Linked DNA regions of Drosophila melanogaster. The protein of the gene in region 1 interacts with the protein of each later gene in a pairwise test. Each region holds a gene or a part of one and is shown in the gene's direction. Other genes may lie near its edges.

Region 1 (6,410 bases):
TTGTTTGGCAAAGCGCCTGTTTAACACTTAAGATATCGTATTTCTTGGACTCGCATGTCTGTGGATGTGTTTGTGTGTGTGCCACAAAGGAGCAGGAGGTGGCAAAAGATAAATATGCATGCGGTTGGTTTATGTGTGTGTGTGTGTGTGTGTTAGCCATTTCAACAGACGCGCCTCCTTTTTGCGCCGCCTTTCGCGCATTTGCATGCAATAAAGATGGCGGGGCGATAACTAGGTTGCCTGCCATTGTTTGCCTTTTCCCCATATTTCTCTTTGGGCATATGTATACGTGTGTGAGTGTGTGTGTGTGTGTTAGCCGCACTAGTTGGCCGCCAAAAGCAGCGGCAGACAGCCCAAGCAGCCACTAAAAAAGGCGAAGTCCGCCAACTGGCGTATCCTGCCACTGCCACCGATTCTTCTTCTTTTGCCGCTGCTGCTGCTGCTATGCATTATGCAGATGTACACCAGGTTCATGAATATATATGCGAGTACTTTGTCTACCTACACATGCAAACAGCTGAAGGCACTGCACTAAAATAAAATATAATTTATTTTCATTAATCTAACTAAAAAAAAAGCAACAAATGCCCTTAAGATCTTAATGGTTATTTAAAAACTCTAACATACTTTTTATATACACCTTAAAGCACTAAATGCTTACTTCCTGTACCCTGCTTTTTATCAGTGTACAGCTCCTTGCATTCGCGATTGTGCGAAAAAAAAGAATGCAGACAAAACTAACTGACAAAATGCCATATGTTTGTGCGCGATAAGCTGCGAAACCCCCTTCCTCTGGCAGCTCCACTAGCCCACGAACGTCCCCATTTCAGCAGCTCCAACCTGTAATTATAATTTAACACCGCATCAAATCAAACGGGTCAGGCAGTAAGGACAAAACACGAGCAAATCGATGTCCTGGCCATCAACCCACACGCACATAGCCCCGGGCCAAAAGCCAAATGCCCCAACCAGAAACCAGCTCCGGCAGCTCAAAAGCCCGTGGCTTCAATGGCTGAGTAAATCAAAAATGTGCAATAAAAATTGCAATAAAGCACGCTTCAAAGGTAACGCAGGGGGGTTGTGCGGAATTGGATGGCTGCAAACCTCATCTAAGCAACGATAATGATTGCAATTCATTTTTATGACTGCCAACTAACCGTTTCCGGGTATTACGATTCTGCAAACCAATTTGCCGACACGCATATAAACAAATTTAATTAAACACGGAGATTTGCAACAAAACGGAGCGTAATAAAACCATTTTATGCTAAACGGGTCAATTTAAATCACACCTAATGTGCCGCTTTAGATTTATGAAATTAACATCCAATGATGCTATATGCTTATTAAAATTATTGAATGCGGTTTGAAGGACCAAAATTCTAGAATTTTTGACTTATAATGTAGAATCATAAGTTATAGTTGTGTATATTGCAGAATAGTTAAATGCTTATTGTAAAACATTTAATGCGGCTTGGAGGACCAAAATACTAGTATAATTCTATAGAAATTATATAGCTTTATTTTTGCTAAATATGTGCATTTTAACCTTTAGCATTTTCATGCAATCATGCTACATTAATATCACTGCACCAACAATGATATTTACCTAGGCATTTGGCGCATTGACTCCATAAGAGTGCGACATTCGTGACTCTGGGAACAAAAAGGGCATCTAAACAAACACTAGAAATGCCAGCAAGGACCGCCCTTTAGCTTATTTTTAGTCGCGTGGCCAGAAGTGGCCAGAATGGCCAGTTTGAAGTGGGCAGGTGTACGGGTGTATGGGCACCTGTCGTCGCCAATCAACCTTGACTAGAACTGGGCGTTGCAGGGTGGTAGGGTCACTGGGTTAGGTTACTAACATAAGAGTCAGTTCTGCACAAGGTTGCCTTTTGCTGCTGCCACACTGAGGTAAATATTTTGAGGCAACATCAGGTGCGTAAAAATGTCAATAGAGTCTAAAAATCACTTTGAACGGTGTTTAAAAGTAGGAAACTATATTAACAATATATTAACACTGGATTCTTTTCTTAACTGCTATTAAGAGACTTTAAAAAATTATACAATAATTTCCAAATGTTTATATACATTTTAAAATACTTAGTTTGTAATTGCTATTTTTCCAGTGATTTGTTACTGTTAGTTGGCTTTAGATGCGGTTTGCTTGGTTGGTTGGCCAGCGATTTTCCAATAAAATGAAATTGCATTTGATGATGCCAGGATGTTTTTTTTTTTTCAATCATTGTGATATTTTTCCCTCACCCCTTTTGTTTTCCCATGCTGTTTTCCTTCACCCCTGCCATTTATAGAAAATTGAATCAAAGTGTTGGTGGCATTGCGACAAACTGCTGGACGAATGAGCGCGTGATTTGAGGCGATTTGTAGAAAAGTGAAAGCCGGCTCCTGGCCACCGGGACCCAGGTCCCAGGTCCTTGCGTCCTGCCAGCGAAGGAAGTGATTAGTGTAGCACTGCTCGACGGCTTCCTTGCGTGAGTCGCGGCATCCTGGGAGAAACGGGAACAAAGCAAACACGGCGCAGCGGAGAAATCCAATTTGTAATGGCCAAGCTGGCCAAGTAGCCCTTGATTTCATTGTTTCAACGGGTTACCGCTAACACACACACACACAAACAGACACCCTTACACCTTTTAAGGAGTTTTGTAAACATTTTCCACATATTGTGCTGCAAATCGAAAAATAAAAAATCCGAAAAAAGTTTTTACCAAACCAAGATGCATTCGACCAAGATTAAAGAGGGTGATGACAGAGTGAGTTGTCCATTCTATTGCCAGTCATATGTGTTGGCCATTAAACGTATTCAACTAATTTGAATGCCACCGTTTAGGAGGAGATGGAGCTAAATCAAATCTGGCGAGGATGTCGTAAAATCCAGGGCGCCATTTTTCGTTATAACTTTGACATCTGCGCCGACTTAAAGCAGCATGATCCCTGTTGCAGTGGCTTCGTGTCCGGTGAGCACATCCTTCGGATGTATTTCCCATTTTTATTGCGCCCCCTTTTTACGACCTAACCCATCTACTCCAGAGCCCATTTTCACCGCCGTGCTGGGCAAGTATCGCAAGGTGGCCGGATTGTCCGAGTCGGAACTCCGGGATGTCACTGACTATTTCCAAATTCGAGATGGACGCGTAGCGTATCGTCAGTTCTGCAAGGTCGTCTGCAGCGAAAGTAAGTTGGTTTTTGGTTAAATTGTATCAATGCTATATCTATTTAACATATAATTTTAGCACTGCATAAGACCGCCAAAAGTGATCTAGCTACGGGACTGGAGTGGAACGATCCCTGGCATGTGAATGTTGTACCCCAGCCGGAGGATCGACGACGTCTCTGCCTGATCCTGCTCAAGATTGCCCAACTATGCAATATTCCGCTCATGCCCTACTTTCAGGACTACGAACTAGTAATTGATTTGCTTAATCATATATCCACCATATTAATAAGCTATTACATTTATTTATAGATTGCACAAAATGTTGGAGTTGTTACCGTTGCGCACTTTTCTCGTGTGCTGCACTTTATGAAGATACCACTTTCGGAGTCCGATTTTCTGCTCCTCCTCAGACGCTATATGAAGGATGGTTACCTGGTCAACTATGTGGCTTTCCTCAAGCACATCGATAATATTATAGCATACCTGGGCGAGCATCATCTGCTGGACAACTCACATGTAAGTGCTAACTTCAATGCTAAAGAATTCGCGCGTATGATGAAATGTGTTCCGAATGTAGGATATTATCAAGGACTTTCCGGGACGTTTAGTGGACCTAGAACTTTCCCAACTGCCAGCTATTGATGGTTGCAAGGCAGTGCATCCAATCTTTCCCGATGCCTGCAGTACACCCAAAAAGAATCGAAATCAGTGCGACATTCTGTTCTGCATTCAGAACTACATCTACAAGAACCAAGTGCGCACCTCCGAGTTCCTAGAGTGCTATGACAGCCTAAACGTGGGCAGCATCACCAAGAATCAATTTGAGCGCGGTCTATCGAACATGGGAGTGGGAAAATATCTGACCCAAAGGGAAATGTCCATTCTGCTGGAACGCTACACTGATCCCGTGGATATCAATCGAGTGCGTTGGCGCAATTTCGCTGATGAGATCGATACAGGTGAAGAGTAATGAACACTATGAGCACTAAACTCTCTATATATATATATGTATTATATTTTTAGTATTCACCATTAAGAACCTGGAGAAGATGCCACAGTGTGTCGTGGAATCGCCACTTCGTCACATCCAGGAGTTGCCCAGACCCGGCGCCGTGCCCTGGGAGTCTGTGTCGGCTAATGTTCGTGATCTGTGTGAGGATGCCATGGCCAAGATTAAGATACGCATCCGCAATCGTCGCCTCTATCTGCATCCATTCTTCCGAAGCTACGATAAGTAAGTTTACCGATACCGATCTTAAATGAAGATTGAACTATTTGGCGTTTCCTTTCCAGACTCAACAGTGGACATGTGCGTTGCAACATTACCAAGCAGATTTTTCGCACCAATGGCATCCTTCTGTCCGATCCGGAGCAGGACTCTGTGCTGAGTCGGTATGGAAACGAGCTGGGCTTTTGCTACACCAAGTTTTTGGACGACGTCGATCCGGCGGAGTATGCCATGCCAGCGCTGGTCACCAAGCAGCAACTGGTGGAGTGTCCACCGTTTGCGAGAGACAATTTGGATCCCGAGGATGTCAGCGAGGAGGTGATCGTGCGCATCCTTACGAACGCCAAGCGACAGGCTGTGGTCAAGAGCGTGGCCGTCATCGAGTTCATGAAGGACTACGATCGCCATCGCGAGGGCGAGATCCTTGAATCGGACTTCAAGCGAGCCCTGGATAACTCAAGTGTAATCATCAAGGAAGAGGAAGCTAACATCTTGTGCAACATGTGAGTAATTCGCAACTTGTATATGTATTATATTTCATTTATATCCTTTTAACATGACCAGCTTCCGTTCACCGAATCGCGTGTCCTGCATTCGCTATCGCGATTTCTGCAAGGCCCTCGACGAGATCTTCATCCAACTGGACACGAACATGGGTGACCAGGTGGTGACCGCCGTGCCACTGCTCCATTTGCCCAATCTGGACTGCGTCGACTGCTTCCTGAGCTTCGACGAGCGAACCATCTGCTCGCAGGCCCTGATGAAGTTGGCCCGCAAACCGGACGAGATCTCCAATCTGAGTCAGCTGTTCAAGGACTTCGATCGCGAACAGTGCGGCTCGATCACGCAGAATCAATTCCTGCGCGGCATCACGGTGCGCGACATGCATGTAATGCTGAGCAGCCGCGAGTTCCAAGCGATCTGCAAGTGCTTCGGCGTGAAGAAGGGCATGTGCATGGAGTTCAACTACCGGGAGTTCCTGAAAATCCTCGACGTGCTCTTTGCCACCGGTCAAATGAAGCGCAACTATTAGTGGCGCGAAAACTAACCCTCTCCAAATTCCAAGTGTATCATTTGTCCAAATTTTTGAATGTTATCAGTAAAATAAAAAAAACAATTGGTGGATTCTTTTAATTTAGGTTTCTTTAATGTAATGTTCGCTTTAAAACTGATCTCCTATCATTCAATTAAGTTAGGTTGTAATTTCGCTTGAGAATGTTTAATTTCTTTTTTTTTTTAAGGGGGAAAATCCACGCTTCCATGTATTGATTTCCTCGAAATGCTACCTAAACTGCCCGTCCAGCACACATCGGCATTTACATATATTAATGCCATCCATTCAGCTTGACGGTCGGACGATTTCATAAAGATTTTCATATAGCTATAGTAGTGTATACATAGATAGATTTGATTTAACAATTCGCATTCTTGCAGTGGTCTATACAATTGTGGGTGTGTACGTAGAGAGTGTGACTTTAGATTTTTATTAAAATATAAATCTCTTCCCTTTCAGAAGTGTACATAAATATAGATGTATTATGTATTATGTATGTATATATGTAGTCTATGAGCGTAATACACATATCCGGAAAACAAAAACTAATATCGTTTCCGCTTTCTCTGCTCTGTACTAGTATATTATGTAATATGGTGGTTTGTTTGTTGTAGGTTGTTTCTGCTTTGTTGTCTTGTCCTGTGTCTTGTCGTATATCGTATATCGAATATCGTATATAGTTTTTCTCAATCGAACGGGAAGAAGGCAACCCGATGTGCCAGCCAGTCAATGCTTGCTTCTTTTGTTTGTTGGTTCTATAATTATTATTACATATTACAGTTAATTCATAATTAAAGTTAAACAAATACTTATACTCTATTGTATTGTGTAATATATGAAACATTTTAGCTGTATTTTTTGTTTTGTTTTGTAAGTATTTTTGTTTGATTTCTTCTGTTTTTTTTTCCTATCTTTCCTATCTCTCCGACATCCTGTGCTCTACTGACGCGTTA
Region 2 (4,100 bases), on another chromosome or scaffold:
CGGCAGCAAAAGCAGCACGATATGAAGGGGTTACGGTCGATGGAAGATTGGAAGATGGGTACTATATGGCTAAAGTTCCCCCACGCGCCACCGATGATGCCAATGATTAATTGCCTCGAAAATGTTTGTTTTCATAAACAATTTTTTTAATAGACCCTCGCATATGTCGGCTGTCGGACGAGTCAGAAACCTGGATCTATCGGGGTCGACGAGTGGGCGGGGTCAAAGAGTTAAATCGATTCGAGTGTTGTCTTTGTCGGATCTTAATGCAGATGACTCCGATGACTCCGGAGTTTCAATGCAGCTATTTTCGTGTCCTCCGCCTCTGATCGATGCACTCGTGTTGGGAATGTAAAAAGAGTTGATAAATCAAAATGTTTTGCCGGGGTCACAAGGCAAGGCATTTGAACGCCCCCGTGGCCCTGACAAATGGGCCCATGGTATTTGGGCTTATTGAAGGTGTTAATTGGCAGCAATTAGGATGGACCTTAAGCGGTGGAAATTCATATTTTCCAACGTTTAAATACGTTTAAAATTAGACAAAATGTTGGTGGAGAAAATAGAAAGACAAACCAGAGTAAGAAAAATATTTATCCCCCGGACGAGGGTCGCCAAGAAATTTATGAAATTTCTGTGTGCTCTGGAGCTCGTGGCATTCCCGAAACAGATTTTTTCAATTAAAAATAAAAAATGTTTTCAACAGGTGACAAAACAATTTTACGGCCCCAAGACCGCACGAATGCCATAAAATGGGATTAGCCATCAGGGAGATGACGATCAAAGGAGGGCACTTCTCGTTTCCTTTCCTGATGCCTTGTTTTGAGTTAAAGGGACCATCAAATATTTTATGCATTTTAAATTGCTGCTAAAAAAGCAGAGCTAACGTTCCCTCATCTCTTGCCATTCCAGCCATAAATCTTAGGGCTCGGGAGATACATTTTGTGGGACGACAGGTAGATCCCATTGCTGGCTGGTCCAAGGACATGCCGACACTTGGCCTCAAGTGCATTATGAATATGAAGCAATAATTTATTTATGAACCTCATAACGATGCAATTTATGAGGTCATCTGCCATTGTCTGCTGCTCCTTTGTAGGTCAGTCTTTGGCCTTTGTTCTGCAGATCGGCAAGAAACATAAATAAAACTTGCATCGATAGGAAACTGGTTTGTCAGAGGCAGGGAAAAAGATACAGCTGTGCGGCATGCGGTGTGTACAGGTGGAAGTCGCTAAGGATAACAAGGTTTCTTATCTACCGAAGTGTGGCCCAACATGGGTTTTAGTTTGTAGTGCTAAAGTCCTTTTCGGACAAAATTTATTTAGTAGTTTCCTATCCAACTGGTTTATATTTCTTACAACTTTCACCAAGCACACCGTCTGAATATATTACATTTTTAGAATAAAACAATAATCAGTATTTATTGCGCTACATTTGCTTAAACATTTATTTATTTATCACCAGCATCTGGACATTAATTCCATAAATCAGCCACCCAGACACTGAAATGATTAATTCAATAAGTTTGAATGGCTGTTCTTAACTGCCATTAATAGGCTAATAATCTCGAGATGATGATTAAAAATGTTTATTATGACTGTGTTTGCACAAAATTTGAATTTTATTATGTCTAAGATTATATGAGAAGATCAGAGATAACATTTCAAAATCTCAGCATGATCTCAAATATTCCGTTAAGAGCGAGTATAGAACACAGACTGGTTTTTGCTAATGATATTCATGATGCGACAACGAAATGATTTATTTTGTTTGTTTTCCTGTTATAGAAGATTATAAACGTATAGATTGTACATGACTAAAACAAGTTAGAAGTTTTCAAATCAAGTAAGCATGGAAAACACATTAATGTGTACTTCAGTTGGCTCGAATTAGAAATCCTCATTTTTAGTCCGGCATTCAGTAAGGTAACAGATCGGCCAACAAAATTTTTTCAAAAACCATTTGAAATTTTTTTGAAATTTTTAAATTTTTTAACGATGGAAAACGGTCCGGAATTCAATTGGGAGTACAGCCATGGTGGTCAGGGAAATCCCAACTACTCACAGGTGAGTCTGCCTACGTACTTCGGTATCCGGGTCTAAACCATGGAATGGTTTCAGATGGGAAGGGGTAGTACTCCTCCTGGAGGCGGTGGTCGTCAGTGGCTGCACTCAAGTCAAGCGAACACCCAAAACTATTTGCATGGATCCAGTGGAATGGGATCGCACCAGAATAACGCATCTCCAGGTGATCCATTCGCCTCCTACAACCAAAATATGATGAACATGTACACGAATTTTAAGCCCAGTTACGGTCATTCTCAAGTTGGGTAAGTTTTTTTTTATGGATCTTAAGGCTGATCTAAAACTGTTTTGGGTTCTATTAGCCCGGCTTCGGTACAGGGCATGGGCTCAGAGCCTGGTCTTGAAATGGGTAACAGAATGGGCCATTCCATGCCCGAGTCTATGGGATTCGATGGAGGCATGGGTTCCGGCATGGGCATGAGCAATGGCCTTGGCGCTGGAATGCGAGTTGGTTCCATGCGTGGTGGTCAAAGGTTAGCTGGAGGCTACTCTTCGAATGGTAAGGCATTTTACTTACCTAATGAAGAATCGCATTAAAATCGTTTTTTTGTAGGTCTCAATGATCCGAACCCTTCGCAATCCCACCGTGGTAGTTGGTTCTAGAAGAGCCCATTAGTTCCTAACTAACTTTACGAATCTCATTTGGCACTTGAAAATTAAATATAATAGGCTTCCCATGAAATGTATATTCACAAAGCAAGTAACTCGAAATTTCCCGTTTAAGAATAATAAATTGATCACATAATAAATATTTGGCACATTTATCAATCTGCGATCACGTGTACGTTATCTATAGTTGTGACCGTTTAATTGTAATCGATATTCAAATATGGCCGAGGGTCAAACGGTGCCATTAACGCCGGCTAACCTTCTGCCCTTTTGGGTGCTGTGACCTCTGTCATCGGGGATCTGTGTATGGAAATCACGTAAGGGATGGGGTGGGGGGTGGCTTTAGTTGCGAGGGGTGGCGCAAGGGCATAAATAACAAATGCAATGTATTTGTATGTATAAATTATGATGATACTATTAGTTAGCATGTCATTCGGCAGCGGGTCTATAAATTACGGACAGGCAACAACTGCAGCAGTGCACACCCACCCTCCCATTTTTAGGGGCCAATGTGCATCCGTTTTTTTTTTTTGGGAGTTTTTATTAATAAATTTACATATACATACGATTTCGGGGGGCCCCTAAACATCGCCACTCGCCTGTCGCATGTCCCCAAATGAGGAACTCCTCCCGTTTCGGAAGTCCCGCGCGTGTGTAATGATCTGTCGCCCTGGATCAGGGCAGCGGATTAATGGTAAACCGAACGCATTTTTCATCGAACATTCCGTTGCATTTTTTTTCCTCGATTTTCCACTATGTTTTTAACAAGCGCCCATTTCGGAAGAACTAATTTATATATATTTGTTTCTGTGCGGCGAGAGTTCAGTAAACTATATGGAATCGCTACGGTTATGAGACCGTTCCGTTCGTTGTGCTCCAGATACGGTCGGTTCCGTTCCCCTCCATGAAACCCTTTCGGACGGAGGGATCCCCGGGTGGAATGCCAGTCACGTCTTGGACGGATAGGCCAGAGAATAGACCCAACCGACAATCACTCCGCCGTTTTCTGCCTTCATTTCAATTCAGTTCTTTTTTTTCTTTTTTTTTGTTGTGTGATATATATATGTATATATAACATTAAGTTAGTCCGTGACGGTTTGTCGGGTGGCGAAGGGGTCACAAATAAATTAAAACAATTGAAATTTACATTAACATTTCTCGACTCGGTTGGGTCTTGTCTTAACACCTCTTCTGTCAGCTGTGCTTGAGGGGAAACTAGGAAAAAGTTGAGCATTTTAGACTTTCTACAAGTTTTATATATGGACATACATTTTAAAATATTTCTTAAAATAATAGTATTTTAATATTGAAAAAATCATAACACTCATGTTTAAATCTTCTTATTTGTTTTCACCCTTTTCTAAGTATGATCTTATTTTACAGGGTATTTAGGATGGGGCTCCATTGTAG
Region 3 (4,777 bases), on another chromosome or scaffold:
GTTAACAATCATAACCTATTTACCTGCATTGGTTCTGGTGGGGGTTGTACCTTGCAATTGTTATTTAAATTCAAATTAATTCTTTTGTCCAAAGTTCCCGCTTACCGGCCAATTATTATGCTGATTAATATTCTGATTATGGTTCTGATTATTATTCCAATTATTATTCATTCTATTTGATGTTTAGATGATGTTAGTTTCTTATTCTGACACTTTGCCAAAACATTTGGCAAGTCTAGTAGGTTTAGAGAAAAGAGTAAAATAAGGAATTAAGAATTCTAAGAGCGTTACTCCTAATTGTTCTATTCATTTCCTTGGTTATTTCTCTGTCATTTGCATATGTCATTAAAATTTTTGTTATGAGTAAAGCAATTTTCTTGTTAACTTTGTTGTAGAATTCTGTAATGCTTTAGCGCCCCTGTCTAAGGATGCATAATTCAGATTCGAGAATATGGATTGGCCTTTAATCTTTATAAACAAAATCCAATCTGGAAAGAATTGCGTTAAAGTTTAAAACTGTATCATGGTTAGTTAGAGCATCATGTGTTGCTCCCATGATTTTATAACGTAGTATTGGTAAACAGATAAGATATTGTTCACTTCGAATTTTATATAGACCCATGACAGTTTCTGCCGCTTCTTACTTGCCTAGAACTCTCAACTTTGGTAAAGATTTAATTACCTAAGCGGTAGTGTCGCACTTTATAGTTGGGTCAATTGTTTGCATTTTATAAACTCTACTACATTTCTGCTAGCGTTTAACTGCCCTTCTGTCCCTTCAATTTTTTTGGTCACTTCTCCCAATTGTACATTTTTTAATCGGGTAATTAATTCCATTTTCAGATTCATGGCGCTGGTTGGTGCTGAACCTCCGGTTACCATTATTAAATTTAATTTTCAAAACTATTAAATTTTCCAGATTGTTTTCTTTAATTAATTGATACATTTGATGTTGAAATGTTTAATTTTAAAACTCTATGGTATTCCTTATAGCTTTCTCTAATTTTATTAATTTCTTTTAAAGACTTAATATTAATTTCTGGTCACGATACATTTTGTTGGAGTCTTATTAGGTCCTTTAGGTTAATTGTCCTGATTATTTACTGTCAATTGTTTGTATTTAGCTGGGGCGGGGGATTACCATCAGGTCATCCTTTCTTCTTGTTGATTTTTTTATTTTTGGGATATTTTCGGTAATAGTTTTTGGCTTTTTGTTTCAATTGTCTTTCTTGCTGAGTCTGATTATTATTATTCTTGTGTTCTCGTAGTTTGTATTAAGAATTTAGTCCACATTTTTAAATATAATATTCTTAGTTGGATTATTGCATTTATAATTTCCAATTAAGTTTTTCCACGATCACTGCCACAGTAGTTAGATGTCGTTGGATTAATGTGGATGTTTTAAGAATGTGAGTGGTTAGCGGCGCGAGTTTCGTTTTATATTTAACTTATTATTGTTAATATTTTTTTAGAACTTTTGAACTACACCGCTATACGTTGGGCGCTAATTAATCGTCCCGATTCAGTCTGATTTTTAAATCTTAATCCTAATCCACTCAACCTCGGCCAGAAGCTTTTATTTAGAATTCTCTTGAACTTTATACTGAAATTATTTCACAGCATTATGAAATTGAAATTTGCTGACTGGTGTTTACGTTAAGTTTGGTCATTTATCGGATGGTTAAGTGCTGGCGACAAAAACAAAAACAAAGGAAATGCTGCTGAGATCGGGGTATGAAATTTGTTTATCAACAGAGCAGGGTGCTATATTTACGGGTGGGATAACTTATATGTATTGTAATTAATCGCACATGGGGCGGTTATATATACATACAACTTTTATTTTAATAAAATTGAGTTTCACGTTATCAGATGCGCTGAGCTGATATCTTACTTGTAATCTCAGGTATGCAACATAAAATAAATAAAATAAATAGCTATTAGATAATGAATATATTCTGATTCACTCAAAATTACTTTAATATGGCAACTTTTGAAAATTTGATTATAACTAGAAAAAATAGCGCTAAAATTTGGCATTGTTAAGATTTCAATATTTTAGCGACAGTCCCTCTCTTGTATAGTTGTTGTGTTATCTAACAGGAGCATTCTAATTTTCAGCAAAACTGTGGACGGTATGCATATTTAAAATCACGTTGTTCTATGGTATACCATGTGGTATAGACCCACTCTTGTCCAAACAGGCCCTTAAAATATAAATTGAAATCGATGGGTCGTTTCCATATCGATATTTTCTCAAATTTTTGAGCTGTCCAAAACAATAAATACATACATTAAATATACCTTTAATACAATACATTGAAGTCAAAATACAATTTTAAATTGCTAATCACTATTTCGCCGAATTTGCATAAACGCATGAGAACTATGACCGACTAAGCAAGTTATCTGAATGCAGTAGCTGAACCCCGAAAGCTAGAGAACAAAAAGTATAAATGTCGGAATCAATGTCAGGTGATCACAAAATTTTATTAAAAGGACATTCCTCCCAATATTTAAAACTTAATGTTGGTGGTCATTTATATTATACCACAATTGGAACACTGACGAAAAACAATGACACAATGCTGAGCGCAATGTTTAGTGGTAGAATGGAAGTGCTGACTGATTCGGAAGGTTTGTTACATGTTCTTATACGGAATAATATTAATATACAAAATTCTAGGATGGATTTTAATCGATCGCTGTGGAAATCATTTTGGTATCATTCTTAATTATTTAAGAGATGGCACTGTTCCATTACCAGAAACTAACAAGGAAATTGCAGAATTGCTTGCCGAAGCCAAATACTACTGCATTACCGAGTTAGCTATTTCTTGTGAACGGGCACTATATGCTCATCAGGAGCCAAAGCCAATTTGCCGCATTCCACTTATAACTTCACAAAAGGAAGAGCAGCTTTTATTAAGTGTTTCTTTAAAGCCGGCTGTTATTCTTGTGGTTCAGCGGCAGAATAACAAGTATTCGTACACAAGTACATCAGACGACAACTTATTAAAAAATATTGAATTATTTGATAAGCTTTCTTTGCGCTTTAACGAACGAATTTTGTTTATTAAAGACGTAATTGGGCCAAGTGAAATCTGCTGCTGGTCATTTTACGGACACGGAAAAAAAGTAGCTGAAGTGTGTTGCACTTCAATAGTTTATGCAACTGACAGAAAGCATACTAAAGTTGAATTTCCGGAAGCTCGTATATACGAAGAAACGCTACAAGTCTTGCTTTATGAAAACCGCAATGCACCAGACCAAGAGCTCATGCAGGCAACGTCTTCAGCACGAGTAGGAAGTGCAAGTGGAACCAGCATTAATCAGTACACAAGCGATGAGGAAGAAGAACGCACTGGACTAGCGCGATTACGATCCAACAAGCGTAATAATCCGTCCTGATTTACAAAACTCTATTACATATGATTGACATTGTTTTTTATAAACGATTAAAAAAAATATATATATGTTTTCTTTTCTTAATAAAACTTGCTATTTCTGCTGTGTGGTCTGCTATAGGTGTAGTTGAAATAAAATGGTTTTTTTTTTGGTTATCCTGTTAAGAAGAAATTCCGTGTTTTCCACATATGCGTTAATAAGCTTTCCTTCCCAAGCCAACTGTAGAACGATGCTTTGTTAAGTTGATAGTTCCGATCATATTAACTAGAAATGACATTCCCTTTGCACTGTACACCTAACAGTGGATTGCATAAGCGCTATTCTGTTCCGAAAATTACTACTACTGGTTTAAAGTTATTAATAAAACCTCTTCAGTTCAAAACTAAATATCACGTTTTATCAGCGATGTTTTTTAAATTTTCCGAAACATCGATGTTTAATTTAGACTATCGATGATTTTAGGATCATCACTATTCGAAGAACAAGAAGAAGAGCTATAATTTCTTCAGCTAATTTAATTAACTTAATTTCAATTATTAGCGTGCAGTATATATATATTTATTGCTTTTTAATTGTTGGTGAAAGCTATGCAAGTCGTTGGAGATCTTCATGCAAAGCAGGCCAAGTCATTTCTGATCGCCGAACTACATTGAAAGCTTATGCTGTGAACAAACTTATGTTCATCGACAAAATTTTGGACATTTCTACAAAAAAATTATGCGATAAAATGAAGATAAAGATGCTCAAATTACACATATATGTACACTTTAAATAAGATATATTTATGAGGCGTCTGGTAAAACCGATCTCACTGATTTTTAAATTCCTATTATTACTAATTTAAGATGATGCATATGAAAAGAAATCGCATTGTTTCTAAGTTTGTAAAATTATTATTTGTTGAGTTGTTTTATATTCAATTTCTAATCAATTGAATTCAAAAATATACGGATACGCCACCCTGGATCGCGAAGGAAAGGGGCTAACCATTTTCTAGTAGTAGGCTCATTTTATTCTGTAAGAATTCATGGTTATGACAATTGGAACTTTTTTAACTCTAGGTCACCGCAGTATGTCCCTTAGATTTTCGAACGACAATGAAAATTTTAAGTTTCCAGGCTAATTTCCAACATGGCGGTGGCGAAAAAGCAGTGTCCCTGCACACATTTAGCTAAGAAATCCCCTCACATTTAAAATGGTTCACAGCATAAGTTAAAAATATTTGCTATCGATTACAAATTTCGATCCGCGACATCGCCGGTCCGTGAAGAGCAGCTTCACTCAAATCCAAAACTGTAAGTTTAGAGACGGGTCGAATCGTTGTCCTCAATAGGCCTCGAGTGAATTACACTCGAAACTTAGCGCGTCT
Region 4 (5,964 bases), on another chromosome or scaffold:
ATATAGCAGGAAGTCAGCCAGTGCGATGCCATATATCATGTGCTGGGAAATATTCGGCCTGTGTCTTTCATGTGTCTCCACTCCGCTGGTGTTTATCTATTTATTTATTTATTTGCCTTTGTACACTTATGACATGATGTTAATTACCGCTCGCGACTCCACAGGCCGAAAGGCAGGGAACCGAAAGGGTGGGCGGAGTCCGGGCCGTCACTTTGAAATGGAAAAGTTCGCCGACTGTTTGCCAACCGTCAACAGCGGCGACAATTGCCAAACGCCGAGGCTAAAGCTAACCGACACTGGCAAACCGACGGTACATCCGATCCGATGTTGGAACGGATCGAAAATCAAAAATCGACAATCCGAGAGTTCCAGACACACGCACTCTGGGAAAAAACGTCCTGCAGCAGGACCTTTGCCTATTGATTCAGGCTGTTTGATCATTGGCTCGCCGCCGCTTGGGAAAGTTTGTACTAAATGTTGTGTACATATTGCTTAATTTAATCACCCAAAGTCAATCCTGCCAAGGACCGCTTGTGACGGAGTGTGTCGCAATGGGCTTAGTCTCAGGATCCTCGGATCCTAAGTCCGTATACGGGTAAAACCAGTCAATGGGAATGTTTCTTGTTTTGCCAAGTTAAAGGATTAGTCGCAGATCCATTGCGGAAATGCTTCACCTGGAAAGTCGACAAGTCAAAGTCATGGGAATGTACGGAATTCGGAAGCAGGATAATAGGATATGCATTATCCATGTTTTGTCGGACTTGGGAAATATCTTATAGTTGGCGGAAAATCCAACCGAAGAATAGGATTTAATTCGGAAGCATAAATATGGCATGTGCAATTTAAAACTATTCATTAATGAGGAAAATTCGTATTTTCTTGAATGCTATGAAATATTTGTCTTTTTAAATGAGATATGAAAAATATTAATTATATAGAAGCCCGAATAATAATAATAAAAATTGTAAAGATATTTAACTACAATATCCTATAAATAACAACTACATTAATTTGATGCTTCAATAAATTTTGATTGGAAACATTCAACCCGCAGAACTTATATCTTTTAACCTTTTCCTATGACTTTACCTATTTCTAGTTTCCAAGCAATTTCCTTCAAAATATGTTAAGAAAACTGCCCATAAAGTGCACCTGCTTGTCTCGATTCAATTACAAATTATTAAATAATTATCCAAGTGAGTAGCATGAAGCATTTCGAATGAGGAACTCATTAAAGATGATTTGACAAGCTCGAGTCGCACTTCAGTTGAAAACGGTGAAAGTTCAACTATTACTTAACAACTACTTAAACAACTGAATTACAATAAATACAATACTGAGTAAAATAATTAAAAAAACTCGAAAATAAATGGTGTGTGAAAGGCATACCCAAAACTAACCAGTAATTGTGTACAATCCTTTTAATAAAGTCTTTCAATTACATTACCATTACCTCAAACTCGTCGTTAATTTGCTGTAAAATATGTCCGGCTTATCCTGCCGGAAACCCTTTTAAAAGCCAATCAATTTTCGCTACAAACGGCCGTTTCCACCCACTCGAAACTTTTATCGCCATCGCTTTGAAGCGGCTAATTGAATTCCAGATTAAAGTGTAAAGCAAAATGGGGGGGAATAAAAAAAACTGATTTGTATTGCAAATTAAAATTTAAGTGAAAACGAATCAGGCGCAAACACAAACAGGGACAATAGATTACAATATCCTGCGGCGCAGACAGCACGACATTAAAAAGGCACGAGGAGCAGCGAGAGCTGGCGCGGAATGGGTATGGACATGGCAATGGAGGTGGAAGGGACGCGCCAGGACGACACAGGACCTTCGTGCAGCTGCTGCTCCTGCTGATGGCACATGCGCCTGGGAGGGCTGCGTTTCGGGATTGGGACTGGGATGCGGGCTGGACTCCAGCGATGGCTGCCTGCCATCAGCGGCAGAAGCAGCAGCAGCAGCAGCAGCTACAGCAGCAGCAGCAGCAGCAGCAGCAACGGCAACGGCAGCAGCAGCAACTACGGCAGCAACATCGGCAGCAGCAGCAACACCAACAATATCCCAGGCTTGCGACCGTCAGGCCAACGGTTTCCGCTTGCTTACTGCTGGAACGGAAAAAGCCAAGGCACATATATCCATGCACATCCACAGGCACATTCGGTCGGAGCCACATCCATGGGATAGTAGATACCGAACGCTGAGGGCCAATCCGAGAGCAGCAGGTAGGCGTGGACGTATCTACCATTTCCAAACAACTTCAACCCCGCCACAGGCAGCTGCCGTTGGTCGGGCCGCTCGCCACCCTCGTCGCCCTCCTCCGCACTTCTCGGCCGGTTCAAAAACGGGTCGCCCTGCCAGCAGTTGCAGTCAGTTATTAACGAGCGCTACTCCCAACAGCAACATCGCTCAGCGGCAGCAGCAGCAGCAGCAAAAGCAAAAGCAAAAGCAACACTAACAACAGCAACACGAGTCACTCAAACGTGGAAGCGAGACAGGAATATCAGCACTCCACTCGCCTCGTTTCACTTCGATTCTCAAGCGTTTGAGTCGGAGAGCGGCGAACGGCCAACGAATTCAGTTTGTGTCGAGACGTTGTCGGTGGCACGTCGCATCCAAAAGAACGCTCAGTCAGCTGGGAAATATACTGAGAAAAGATACATTCGTAGATACAAGTGCTAAGCCAAAGTGAACCGTGCAGTTCGCGCAACTAAACAATTTTAAGCCAAATAAAACTACACAAGGCCAACAAAGACAGTATAATGTCTTCCACATCGGCCTCACCCATCAGCAACATAACCGTGGATGACGAGCTCAACTTAAGCAGAGAACAAGGTGGGTTCAAGTTCAAAACTGGCTCAGAACAACTTGGCAAATGCCGACGGCAAAGCGCATTACTCTCTAGCACTTTTTGACTAGTTTCAAAAAATGTTCCATTAATATTTGAAAGTAGTCTCACATAGCATTGCATTTATATGAATTGAAAACTAACCGTGGGCATTTCTATTCCTTCCTTTTTAGACTTTGCTGAAGAGGATTTCATAGTGATCAAGGAGGAGCGCGAGACAAGTCTCTCCCCCATGCTGACGCCCCCGCACACGCCCACCGAGGAGCCGCTGAGGAGAGTGCATCCGGCGATAAGCGAGGAGGCGGTGGCCACCCAGCTGCACATGCGACACATGGCCCACTACCAGCAGCAGCAACAACAGCAGCAACAGCAGCAGCAGCACCGCCTGTGGCTGCAGATGCAGCAGCAGCAGCAACAACATCAGGCTCCACAGCAGTATCCAGTTTATCCCACAGCCAGCGCCGATCCCGTGGCCGTGCACCAGCAGTTGATGAACCACTGGATCCGCAACGCAGCCATCTACCAGCAGCAACAGCAGCAGCAGCAACATCCGCACCATCATCACCACCACGGCCATCCGCACCACCCTCACCCACATCCGCATCATGTGCGTCCCTATCCCGCTGGCCTCCATAGTCTGCATGCCGCGGTCATGGGTCGCCACTTCGGAGCCATGCCCACCCTGAAACTGGGTGGTGCCGGTGGAGCGAGTGGTGTACCCAGCGGCGCAACTGGCAGCAGTCGGCCAAAGAAGCAGTTCATCTGCAAGTACTGCAACCGGCAGTTCACCAAGTCGTACAATCTGCTCATCCATGAGAGAACCCACACGGACGAGAGGCCTTACTCCTGCGACATCTGCGGCAAAGCCTTCCGGCGACAGGATCATCTGCGGGACCACCGGTACATCCACTCCAAGGACAAGCCCTTCAAGTGCAGCGATTGCGGCAAGGGTTTCTGCCAGTCGCGCACCCTGGCCGTGCACAAGGTCACCCATCTGGAGGAGGGTCCGCACAAGTGTCCCATCTGCCAGCGGAGCTTCAACCAGCGGGCCAACCTCAAGAGTCACCTCCAGAGCCACAGCGAGCAGAGCACCAAGGAGGTGGTGGTGACCACCTCACCAGCCACTTCACATTCGGTGCCAAACCAGGCATTGAGTTCGCCTCAACCTGAGAATTTGGCACAGCATCTGCCTGTCCTGGATCTATCCTCGTCATCCTCGAGCTCAGAGAAGCCCAAGCGGATGCTGGGCTTCACCATCGATGAGATCATGAGCAGATAGATTGAAGGACCAGCGAAACCCGGTATCCGGTTTCTTTTGAGACATTCTAAAAGAGATTCAGAGAGCTGGACGTCCGCCAGGCATGGGAAATGCCTGGAATGGAAAACCAAGCGAGTCCAGCCCGCATTCTGGCCAAAGGTGCAAGTGGAAAATCCTCGCCAGCAACTCGTAATCGCAACCCAGTGAGCAGAAGAGTCATCCTCCGTGCAATCGGTTCTATGTAGCAGATCCCAATTGCGTTAAACAAATGCCAAAGTCAAATAGCAGAGGAAAACTGATGAAAAATCCAATGAAAAGTATTGCTAGCACAAGCCTCCTACAAATCGATTCCAAAACACACACACACACACACAACTGTAAACTATAAACTTTAATAAATAGCACATAATTTATATTGTAATCTAACTATTATTGTATGTACCTTATAGTCGTAGTAGCCCATTCAGTTCGTAGTGCTTATGGAGTAAACCAAATGTTATGTTACAATAGCTCAATCAAACAAACCTCAAACCCGCTTTGGTTATTGAAAGACTGTTTTAATTATTATATTTAAATAGTACTTGAATAAATCAATCGATCGATTGTGTAATGTTAAACCCCGACGAGTGTCATGATTACTTACTGTTTAGACTTAACAACTTAATTGTCGCTATAGCAATTGTGACTATGCACAACGATCTCATTGTCGTCTATATGTATGTCTGAAACATTCGTATTGATATGAAGTTATCACAAAAATACGTAAATATAAACGCAAAGTAATTTTCAACTGAAATTTAATAAGACTTTTTATGAATACGGTGGATTTTGTGTTTCCAGGTATTTGGCAATGGCAATTTCGCCTTGATTTATCATTACTTCTACTGGCAACTTGATAATCTTTATGGTGTACTAAGTTAAAGTTATCTGAAAAGATTTAAGCAGCAATTTTTTGATTACCTTCTACCACCTACTGACTGATTCAAGTTCCAAGCGGACTGAATGATTTTGATCTACTTTTAATCACTTTGAAATCTTTCTTATCCGCTGACTAAATCCCACGCCATTCCGATTTGGGAATTTTCTCATGCTGCGAATATAACTCAGTAGACTGAACTCGTAGGACCATATAAGTTGAACCATCAAACAGCAGCTGTCAAAATTTATTAACCATCCGAATATAACTCAGTTTTTATGCAGATCTCGATTTGCGCATTTTTAAGCAGCTCTATTATTTTTCAGGTTGCCGATTAAGTAAGCAGAAGTCTCGCCACCAAAAATATTCAAACTGTCGCAGAAGTTAATTTATGAAATCGAATCGAATTGAATTTGATGTCAGTTTTGCTATGATTTTGTCATGAATCGGTTTCGATTTCGGTAACACTATGGTTATTGTTTAACTTTGAGGTGTGGTCCAAATATTTATGGCCTGTGTTTCAGTTTTGGGTTTAGTTCAGTTTTCATTGTGGCTTCTCTTGAAAATCGGGAACGTGCCAAATGCCTTGCAAAAGGTATGTTTGATTTCCTTTAATGGTGGTTTTCTTTTCTAGTTTCTTCCATTGGCAATTGCATTTCTCTTAGCACGCTTCTTACTCAGAACTGTCAATTTCAGATTGTGATCTTTGTCTCAAAATCGAGCATAGGATTGTCTTTAATTGAGGCCTGAGGTCGTTCTGGTTACCCCCGGGGGGAACCCGCATGAGGGGTCTGCATCTGCCTCATTTGCTGCTCGATTTCCATTTCCATTAGCATTTCCATTTTCCATTTTCTCCACCTTGATGACATACTCTCGGGCCTTATGGCCATGTACAATTGATTTGGGCCCTCTCATTGTGTTGGCTTTGATTTGCTTTGTTT

Evidence for each region.
Region 2: the proteins of CG10841 (region 1) and CG14926 interact in a two-hybrid assay, tested with the Drosophila melanogaster proteins (one large-scale study listed by BioGRID).
Region 3: the proteins of CG10841 (region 1) and CG10465 interact in a two-hybrid assay, tested with the Drosophila melanogaster proteins (one large-scale study listed by BioGRID).
Region 4: the proteins of CG10841 (region 1) and odd interact in a two-hybrid assay, tested with the Drosophila melanogaster proteins (one large-scale study listed by BioGRID).

The regions. Positions count from the first base shown.
Region 1 is NT_033777.3:13,629,327-13,635,736, forward strand, and holds CG10841 (uncharacterized protein), read left to right. Parts: upstream 1-2,615; 5' UTR 2,616-2,735; coding exon 2,736-2,771; intron 2,772-2,848; coding exon 2,849-2,975; intron 2,976-3,048; coding exon 3,049-3,192; intron 3,193-3,251; coding exon 3,252-3,424; intron 3,425-3,484; coding exon 3,485-3,691; intron 3,692-3,752; coding exon 3,753-4,134; intron 4,135-4,198; coding exon 4,199-4,409; intron 4,410-4,468; coding exon 4,469-4,906; intron 4,907-4,967; coding exon 4,968-5,436; 3' UTR 5,437-5,535; downstream 5,536-6,410.
Region 2 is NT_033779.5:11,341,063-11,345,162, reverse strand, and holds CG14926 (uncharacterized protein), read left to right. Parts: upstream 1-1,844; 5' UTR 1,845-1,994; coding exon 1,995-2,063; intron 2,064-2,117; coding exon 2,118-2,326; intron 2,327-2,383; coding exon 2,384-2,580; intron 2,581-2,634; coding exon 2,635-2,684; 3' UTR 2,685-2,862; downstream 2,863-4,100.
Region 3 is NT_033778.4:5,338,422-5,343,198, reverse strand, and holds CG10465 (uncharacterized protein), read left to right. Parts: upstream 1-2,203; 5' UTR 2,204-2,456; coding exon 2,457-2,637; intron 2,638-2,686; coding exon 2,687-3,411; 3' UTR 3,412-3,493; downstream 3,494-4,777.
Region 4 is NT_033779.5:3,603,158-3,609,121, reverse strand, and holds odd (odd skipped), read left to right. Parts: upstream 1-2,365; 5' UTR 2,366-2,763; coding exon 2,764-2,836; intron 2,837-3,022; coding exon 3,023-4,128; 3' UTR 4,129-4,898; downstream 4,899-5,964. UniProt on the Drosophila melanogaster protein: Pair-rule protein that determines both the size and polarity of even-numbered as well as odd-numbered parasegments during embryogenesis.